Saccharomyces cerevisiae S288C: one gene and its partner. The main gene of each other region encodes a partner of the protein of the gene in region 2 in a complex. Each region holds a gene or a part of one and is shown on either strand. Other genes may lie near its edges. The genes, in order: NET1 and SIR2.

Region 1 (5,984 bases), on a different chromosome or scaffold from region 2:
CTGTCAAAAAATGCCCAGTTTATTTGTACGACGTTCAGAACAGATATGTTGCAAGTTGCAGACAAATTTTTCCGTGTTAAGTACGAGAATAAGATTTCCACGGTTATTGAGGTCAATAGAGAAGAAGCAATCGGATTCATTAGAGGTAGCAATAAATTCGCTGAAGTCTAAGAGATATTTGAAACGATTTGTATATAAAAATATCAGTTTTGCTTACATAAATAGCTATTTGTATGTAATTATTACCATTGTCTCCTATATTGGAATTTTAAAAAATTTTCTTTTAAGATGATACTGTTACTAAACAATAATGTTAAATATAGTAACCAAGCTTTGATAATTCGACGTACAAAAAAGATTACTTTTCTTAAAGAAGTTGCCCGCTTGCTGGGAAAAGAGGTAAATAAGAATTGGTTTACATGAAGATTTTTTAATATATTAATACTTTTATATGCTTGATTATTTTTTTTTACTAGCTTTCTGTGACGTGTATTCTACTGAGACTTTCTGGTATCATTTTTTCTTGAAATCTTTTATTAATGATGCAAATCCACCACTTGGCTTCTTCTTCTTACCTAAAGCAGCACTAGCGGATTTCGCACTAATAAAACTTTTTCCATCATCAGATGAATCCCCTGAGTCATCAGAATCTGACTCAGATTTAGAATCTGAACTGGAATCCGATACGGAGTCCGAACTGGAGTTAGAGTCAGAATCAGAGCTAGATTCATCATCACTACTTGAAGGGGCTTTTGTTTGTGACTTCTCATTCGATTTAGAAGTTTTTTCCTTTACATCTGGGATGCCTCTTGAAACAAGATCAGATAATGAACTCAAAGAAGGACGAACTTTTCTTGGAAGGTCATGAAGTATACTAGACGGATTTGAGGTGGTCTTGGATTTAACTGACGGAGGAGACGACATGTCCATTAGCTGTGTAACTGGAATTTTATCAGGGGTGGCATTGATTTTTTTGTTAACAGATGGAGAGGGGGCTTCAATCTTAGATGAAGATCTAACTGGTTCTCTTGGTGTATTTACAACAACTCTTCTAGCCTTCCTGGATGTTGAAGTTTCCTCATCAGAAGACGAGGAAGATGAACTAGACTCGTCTTCTGTGGAAGAACCTGAGGAGCTAGAATCATCATCGTTTGCACTAGAATTATTTTTTTCATTAGAAATTATTCCAGGTGGCACGAGTGTTTTACTATTAGTAAATTTAGCCTTCAAATCCTTCAATTTATCATTTGCACTGGGCTTAGGAAGCTGAACATTGCCTTCTTTTAAGTGATCTGTCATTTTTAACTTTTTCTGAGATACCTGTTTGCTTTTGGAGTCTTCTTTTTCCTTCGAGTTATTTTTATCGTTAGCATCCTGTATATTGGCAGATGCTTTTTCTGGTTCCTTGGACCCCTCTGCTTTCTTGTTCAAGTCTTCACCTCCTATGTTTGCGCTTTTCAAATCTGCAACCCTAGAAGTTGTTTCCTTCTGCTGCCTATCAATCTGCGCAGACTCATTCTTGGCCTTCGTTTTAACATTTTTACGATTTCCTTCTTCATTGAAAGAGGTAGTTCCTTTAGTAGCAACAGAAGGAGACCCACCAACAACAGGAAAAGACGATGCTTGTGTTGCTGGCTTAGTTTCCACCTTTGTAGCTTCATTTTGCTTCTTGTTTGAATTCGGATAAAAGCTTTTCGCCATTTGTTCACTTATTTTGCTATTTGTTACTGAAGATTCACTCACGGCTGACTTTTTTTGACTATCTCTTTTGTCGTTTCTTTCTTCATCAACTTCTTTATTGATTATCTTTGAGTCTTTCACTGGAACAACACTGCCTTTCAAAGAATGTAAAGAAATGTCTTTGGGCCCATTATTAGGCACCGACATATTTTTCCTTTTAAAATCATCGTCTGATGAGAAATCTGTTTCAATCCCACTCTCTGACTCATCGTCTGTGGACGCTGCCGAACTAGAATCTTCAGTACTTTTCTGTGGGACTTCGTTTTTCTTGGCACCTGCCAATAATTGGGCAGCCCTCTTAGCCGCACTTCTTGGGGTTCGCTGGGGCAAAATATTTCTTGGATCTGGCTTAGAATTGTCTATGTCTTTATTCAAAACCGTTGTGTAAGGCTTTGAATTTTTGGAATTACCGGAAGTTCTCGAATTTTTGCCCTTAAACCATTGCGGTAGATCTGTATCATCACCTTCGATCATTTTGAAAAGATCTGACTTTGGGAAACTAGAGGAATCTGAATCTTGAGGAACAATACGAACCGTAGTATCAACTTCATCATTATCATTGCCATCGTCCTCAATGGTGCCGTTAATGATAGTGCCATCTTCCTTTGAAGCGTTGTTGTTTGAACTAACTTTCCCAGCTAGTGATTTCAACGTCCCATTAGACTTATCAGATGATGCAAGTATTGGCTGATCATTATGTGGAATTGTCGGCAAAATTTCCTTTTCTAAAAGTTTATCATTCGTATCTTCTTTTTCTCTTACCTGATTATCATCTAGGAAATTAGTCATTCTTTTCGGTTCCACAATACCGGAAGGTTCCGCCTGAGATTTCTTTTCCACTATAGTTTCCAGTGAACTCTTTCTTGGTGGTTGATGTTCTTGTTGCTTTCCCCAGGATTCGCCATTTGAAGATTTGGTGATCGAGGTATTGCTTGCCTTGGGAAGTTCTGCTAAATGCACATTGTGTGGCATGGCATCACCGAGAGGACTATTTTTCACCGGAGAGCCATTATTATCTGCGATGGAGCTTTGACTACGTTGCAAGGAAGCCTTTGAATGTGGTTCTGTTTCAGGAGTTTCTTGGTTTTCGCTACTTGAGCTATCGTCGGATTCGTAGTTCTCGCCATTTTCCAAGTAAGGTTTTTTCATTGGAATCTTTGCAGCTTTAGCGGGTAAAATGGAGGCCGGACTGGAAGGTCCCTCTTTTAACTCTTTTTCAATCTCTGAGATTCTTGGCTCGGGGATTTTCAACATTCCTGATGTTATTCTTGGAGTGGTTACGGGTGGTTTCCTATTAATGTCCTGAGCAGTGACAGCAGCTGTGCCACCATTAGCAAATGAAGAGGAAGAAGCTGAAGCAGAGAAAACCAATTCGTTTTTATGTGCGTGTTCAGAAACCACTCTCTGACCGGTAAGAGTAACTCTGTTTGGAGTCATGGTGGACATTATAGGAGTTCCGGACAATAGACGTTGCTGCTTTGTTTTATCTGGATCCACGGTTGCTGATCTGGACACGATATCTTCCTCGACGATGCTTGATTTTATTTTTTTACCTGCGTCAATGCCCGAACTAATTCTTATGGGAGGTGACTGAGGCTGCGTTGGAGGCGGCAAAAAGGATCTTTCACCAATGTCTTCGTCTTCGTCATCTGAGTTGTTGGAGACGATCTTCGAAGAAGGTGGAGGATAAATTTGCCTAGCCAATGGGGTAGAAACCCTCATGGATCCATTAGTGGCACTACGAATGGTTGTTGTTGTCGTGGTTCCTGTAGGTGGCCTCTTCTTGGCAATCCGAAGAACACCTGAAGAGGACGGGATTTGTTGTTGCGGCTGCACCGACTGGGGCGACCCGTTGTTCAACTTGGATCGTTTTACCGACTTATAAAGTGACACTGGTGCGGAATCGTCCAGATCTATCTCATTCTTCAATATAACTCTTACGATATTATTTACATTGAAAACGTCCTTTACCAAAAAATCCGGATCAAGGTCACAACCGCTGTTATCTTGCAAACTCAAAATTTCAATGTCTTCTTGCAAACTCGGGTACATTTTTTCACACTTATCGATGATTTCATCACTCAAGTTCAACAGCGTGTTTGTCGGCTTGGTAAACAAAAGAAACTTCCTAAACCTAGACTGGTTGAAATAGCTTGGCGTGAAACTCACATTGGCAGATCTCAGATTAGCATACTGCAAAGAGGCATCTCCGGCGCTTTGCGCCATATTAGTTCTGTTTGGCAACAATTGAGAAGATTCGGCGATGGTTGGTCCGTAGCCAAACTGTATTGGCATCGTCGCCTGAAGACTCGGAGGCACCAAGACCACTTGTAGCTTGTACATAGAAGGAGGCACGGTGTACAGTAATCGACTTCTCTCTGTTTCAGGCGAACCGAGACTAGGGATTCGATCAGCTCCGGCACTTATTTCATCGTGCTAGCTACTCTTCACTAGTTATTCAAATTGATTATTGACGCTTACCATGAAAAAGAAAAAAAGTTCAAAACATGTGGAACGGGTAACATAATGCACATATCGCTCCCTACGAGAAACAAATCTTATTTTCGAATACGTACACGTACATATCAAATAGGCTTATATCATTCTGACTCTTCACCAATCAGGGACATATCAGTACTACATCTGTTAATAGCAACGTTATGCACTATTTTTTTTCCAATTTTTTTTTCGTTGAGTAAAGTTCAGGTCGTACAGTGGCAAGGAACGACTATTTCTAAAAACTGTATTGCCTTAACCATGTCTTTCCCCTTGAACGCTATCCCTGGCATGTATCTGATAATTGCTTTCCCTCGTCTACAAACAGTAATTCCCCTGCAGCGAAATACTCCTGTTCGAATTACGAAATCGGTGATAGTGAAAGGCGCAGTGAGCGTGCCACGGATCTCCTCTCCGATGCACTAGGGTCCTGTTCCGTGCTCTGGTATCTCGATTAGGAAAGCGGAAGAAAAGAACGGAGGATACCTCTAATTAAGAGGGTCCGTTGTGTTGTGTTAAGCTCGGGTATAGGAAACTTGAAGAGAGGCGAAAAAAACCCAACGATGTGAGGAACGCGTCGCTATTGTTGGTAAGTTTGGCCGAAAAATTGTTTTTCTTCGCACATGGCTGGTTCTGCTGGAGGCGGCTGGGTGTTTATAGTTACCGCAATGCAGGTCGCTTCGTTTACTTTTCTCTGCGTGCTCGAGAACTGATAAATACTGGTTTAGGAAAACCGTCCACTTATGGATTTAACAAGGAGGTGAAAGGTAGGTACCATGGCAATATAGCTAGCAACGCTACGCACTAGCTGTGTGTGCTTGCTCTCTTGTGTTCGTCTTTCGTATATTGCGGGTTCCCGCGGTTAATTCAACAACAAATATGGTATCTAGGCAGGGACCCAGCAACGGAAGGATGTAATTGCTATATAGGGCCGATGAAACAGTTCTCATGTTTCAACTCGGTCGAAGAATTCTCTAAAACATATTCTATACTTCAAAGTTTTTAGCTTCTTGCTTTTCGGTAGTTGCCAAACCAATATCGGCATAAAATTATAATTGCTGCACCCCTGCAACTCCAAACAACTTAAAACAACTTAAAACGAAAACGCTTATGCTGGAGTTTCCAATATCAGTTCTGCTAGGATGCCTAGTAGCCGTCAAGGCACAAACCACGTTTCCAAACTTCGAGAGCGATGTGCTGAACGAGCATAACAAGTTCAGAGCGCTACATGTTGACACAGCGCCGCTCACCTGGTCCGACACTCTGGCCACCTATGCGCAGAACTACGCCGACCAATATGATTGTTCGGGTGTCTTAACGCATTCCGATGGCCCATATGGTGAGAACCTTGCCCTTGGTTACACAGACACGGGAGCGGTGGACGCCTGGTACGGGGAGATAAGCAAGTATAATTATTCAAATCCCGGATTTTCTGAATCCACGGGTCACTTCACACAGGTGGTTTGGAAGTCAACCGCCGAGATTGGATGTGGTTATAAATATTGTGGTACGACATGGAACAATTATATTGTGTGCTCCTACAACCCTCCTGGAAACTACCTGGGTGAGTTTGCAGAGGAAGTGGAACCACTTATAAGCACTGTTTCCTCGTCCTCATCCTCGTCCTCTTCTACCTCAACTACATCAGACACAGTCTCCACCATCTCATCCAGTATTATGCCCGCTGTAGCGCAAGGGTATACAACAACGGTATCGTCTGCGGCTAGCAGCAGTTCTTTAAAATCGAC
Region 2 (4,111 bases):
CGGAAATCATGAGTTGTTTGGCCTTCTCTCCCTAGAGAACTTTTCTCTATACTGATACCACGCCTTAACACATTTAAACCATGTTTTTTACCACCCAAATGCCTTTCAACGCTGGACCACGACATGTGCATTGTATTACATAGTTTACAAACCAGTTTACCGGAATGATTCTTGTAAATGTACGGATTGGACCTTACTTGATCGTCCTTTTCATCTTGGAAAGTGTACGGGACATTTTCGCCTTTACTAAGTAATGATTCGACTTCTTTCCTTCGTTGTAAGTTAAACTGAGATTCTGAGGCTATACCACCACCTCCTTTCTTTGACCCAACGCCTTCTAAATAGTTCATTTTGAATGTATGGATGCGTTAAATGATTTGAATTTGCTGTTCCACCTGCCCTTCTTACATTAAGCTATTTGTGAGAGCCTTGCGTCTTTAGCAGATTTTTTTTTTTCATTTTTTTAGTGAGATGGGCGGTACATGTAATATTTCACCCGGTACAATGAAAATAGCAGAATGTAAATAATATTTGACTACAATAATTGAAAGGAAAACAAAATTGTTTGCCATACTATGTAAATTGATATTAATTTGGCACTTTTAAATTATTAAATTGCCTTCTACTTAGAGGGTTTTGGGATGTTCATCTGATGTAACGACATACACGCCCTTATCCTTCTCTTGGCATTTAAAGTTCTTGTTCTTCAAATCGTTCCATTTCTTATGCGGAATCGTCCAGCCACATTTTTGGGCTACCATAGCTGCAATGTCATCACAGTACCCCAAAAGAGATAAATCAAATTCTGCGTGCTTGACGGGATCACGATTAATCAGGACTTGGGGAACGTGGGAAGGAACCATGTTTACGATTTCAGACACTGGCGCTACTTTTAAACTTGTCCCAATGCAAATCAACAAATCACATTCTAAGATATCTTCGCGAATGCTCTTATGAAATTTATTTGGCAGTGCTTCGCCAAAGAATGTGATATCTGGTTTGAGAACGCCATATGAGTTAAGGATATATGGAGGCCTTTCCGACATTGAACCCTGTGATGCAGCAACACCTACTTTATTATTATATCCCTCTGGGAAATATTCTCTTCTTTTTTTGTAACAGTACGGGCATAGTGGAAGTTCGAGGTTTCTAATTTTATTAAATATCCTCTCACCGGGTAGGTTCCAATGGCAGGTAACGCAGGTGGCAGTAGCAAAAGAGCCATGGCACTGCACCAGTTTATCTGTGCTTATTCCCGCATAAGATTCCAAATTATCAATGTTTTGAGTATAATTTCTCAATAATTTCCCTTTCATTTGTAGCATCTTAATGAAACTATGCAATGGAGAATAAATTTTTTCTGGAGGTAAAACCATATTGGCAATATTATAGAAAACAGAGGGGTCGTGCATAAATATATTGTAATTGAAAACGTCTTGGGGATCATCGAGCCCCAAATGTTTGATCTTTGAATAGAACCCCTCAGAAGATCTGAAGTCCGGGATCCCTAATGAAGTTGAAACACCTGCACCAGTCAGGACCAAAATTTTTCTAGCGGTATGTAATTTTTGAATAAAATGATCAATAGTGAAAAAATTGGATAATCTTAATCTTGTACATAGAACTTTGTTAATTGCTCTTTGCAAATCTTTGATTAGACGAACTGTTTGCTTTTTTGCCAATGGGTCTTCAACATTTGTGACAGATATTGCACTTCCCAAATCTTGAACACGCTCTTGCGAGTTGATATGGACAATACTGTTGATGGTGCCGATAAGCGCTTGATCTTTAACTTCAAAGCCTAGCAACTTGATAAGATAGTAAATGTATAACGAGTTCAAATCCTCGGGGAGGTAAGTGTCTAAAAATTTGTGTGCACCATAGTATTTCAGAAACATTCGAGCATTGAGAGACTCTCGTTTAGTGAAGGAGGGACCATAGAAAATACCATTTGATGGGTTTTTACTGATTATGATTGGCCCCTTGGGCGTCTCTGGTTTCAAAACGTCATTGGACATTGACACTACTGAAGCTGCTGACACTGCCAAGGGATCCATGTCATTAGTTGGTTTGAGCTCCATCGATGCCACTTCTCCGAGCGCAGCTTTAGTGTGCCCAAGTGGATCTGTTGTGTTGGTTTCCCTCAAGGAATCCGGCTGTGCTACTTTTATCTTCTTATGTGAAGGTTCATCATTATTTATAATGTCATCGGGTTGTTTTCTGATCGCGTCTTTATCTTGTGTGGGGCTTACTGTATTTGAAACCTTATTTTCGCTAGTCTTTGATACGGCGTATTTCATATGTGGGATGGTCATCCAGCTTTAATGTGCCGATGAGGGAAAAATGGTTTGAATGTGTCTACCGAAGCGATGCCTAATTTCTTGAAATACGTGAGAATGGGCTTTACATCTCTTCACTAAATATATTTTTCTTGGGTGGTGAAAAAGACAAGTCTTTCAAACTATGCGACCTAGAAAAAAAATATTTTACCGCAACTGGCGGCCAAAGAGGACAAAGAAAAATTCCTCGTTTTTTCTCTGAGATGGGAAAGCAAGAATTTTGGCAAGAAAAGGTCCTGGCTGTCCTGGACCATGGTTGGAAGGAGTGCTAGATGTAGCTTGGAAAAGAAATGACCTATAACAATGTATCTTTTATGAGCATATGCGCATGCATATAAGCATATACATAAAAAATATATACATAAATTAAGTAAGAGTTAATTGACACATTGAGGAGTTGCAGGCTACAAGTAATACTGTAGAATTTCGTTCTGGGAGTGAGGCTCCAAGGGAGAAAGACTGCTAATAATCATTTCTTTCAAATTAGAGCTTCCGATCGGAACATCATCGCGATAGCGATACAGAAATAGCAGGCCATTTATATCATTCTTACCGAATTTTTCTTGGTAGAAATTCAGCCAATCGAAGCTATTGTTAGATATTTCGTTTAATGGGAAATTTTCAGAATACTCTTTTTCAAGGCTCTTCGTGACTACTTTCTTCAAAATTGGATCAAAGGGGGTGTCGTTTCTTGTGGCATGTAACAAAACAATGGCCATACTACCAAATAAACCGCTCGTGGTGCCAAATCTCTTAGCGAATTTGTTTAGAGAAGCAAAGCACAAAGCTAACTTTCCAATTCTGTAGTTAAATTCAAAGTCCAAAATATAATCCCTTTCGTCTTCTCTGACTTGCATGGAGTAGTTATTATAAAATTCGGTAGCGAAGTCCTCCATTGGAGTGGAGGTTTCAATCAACTTTTCGCCGAATACATCGTTATCTTGATCACTCGGATAAGCAGCAACACTCTTGGCTTCAGTTTCTTTCCGTTTGTTCATAGCGGCTGCTTCCTTCTTAGCTTTTTTCTTTTGGCTGCTACTATTTTGGCCATTATTTTGGATTTCATCTGAATTTTCATCTAAAGAATCGGACTTTCTTTTTAAGCGATCATCATGCATTTGAAAGTAAAGCTTTGATGCTTCCTTCATTGCGCGAACATACATGGGTTTGGTATAAAGTGCCTTTCCCCATTCTAACATCTCCAGATAGGCTCTTGGCGTACCTTTTCTCATACAGTATGAATGGAAATCCAACTGGTCATCTTCGAATTGTTTATAAAACTTTGGAATAGCGTTGAATCTTTTCAGCGCCAAACCTTTATATTTGCGAACAAGCCATTGGTTTTCTTTGATATCATTCGCAATTTGTTCGCTTTTATCACTTTCAACCTCTTTTTTTAGCGATGCTAAATCGTCTAATTTCTTTTTTCTATCCAGGTATAGTCTATAATAGGCTTCTGCCTGTTCTACGATGAACCAAGAAGCTTCCACAAGGTGTAAGTCCTTAATACCATTAACAGAATCATCGTTTTTGGTGAAAAGGGACGCGACTTCCACCGCCTTGTCGATATTGTTAGCCCTTAAAAAGTACTTAACCGTTTTACAGTTGATAAATCTATCCTGCAAATCAAGTTGCCTACCTTCCTCCAAAATTCCAGCCGCTGTGTCCATTAGGCCTAAGTGCTTCAGGATACGTGCCTTGAGGATGTAAAACTCAACTAAAGTTGGGGTGTGGTCAAGGGCAGCATCAATATATTCTTGGGCTTTCGGAAA

Evidence for each region.
Region 1: SIR2 (region 2) and NET1 share a complex: the UniProt entries of both Saccharomyces cerevisiae proteins name them as parts of the RENT complex.

Annotation. Positions count from the first base shown.
Region 1 is NC_001142.9:293,344-299,327, reverse strand, and holds NET1 (Net1p), read right to left. Parts: upstream 4,084-5,984; coding exon 514-4,083; downstream 1-513. Other genes in the region: cohesin subunit SMC3, read left to right, coding at 1-171; APQ13 (Apq13p), read left to right, coding at 452-868; YJL077W-A (uncharacterized protein), read right to left, coding at 4,443-4,529; ICS3 (Ics3p), read left to right, coding at 4,267-4,662; YJL077W-B (uncharacterized protein), read right to left, coding at 5,183-5,281; PRY3 (Pry3p), read left to right, coding at 5,347-5,984. UniProt on the Saccharomyces cerevisiae protein: Has a role in chromosome maintenance and is involved in mitotic exit. Inhibits the action of CDC14 by sequestering it in the nucleolus. Also binds to RNA polymerase I and stimulates rRNA synthesis.
Region 2 is NC_001136.10:376,131-380,241, forward strand, and holds SIR2 (NAD-dependent histone deacetylase SIR2), read right to left. Parts: upstream 2,316-4,111; coding exon 627-2,315; downstream 1-626. Other genes in the region: spliceosome assembly protein PRP11, read right to left, coding at 1-350; peptide alpha-N-acetyltransferase complex A subunit NAT1, read right to left, coding at 2,744-4,111. UniProt on the Saccharomyces cerevisiae protein: NAD-dependent deacetylase, which participates in a wide range of cellular events including chromosome silencing, chromosome segregation, DNA recombination and the determination of life span.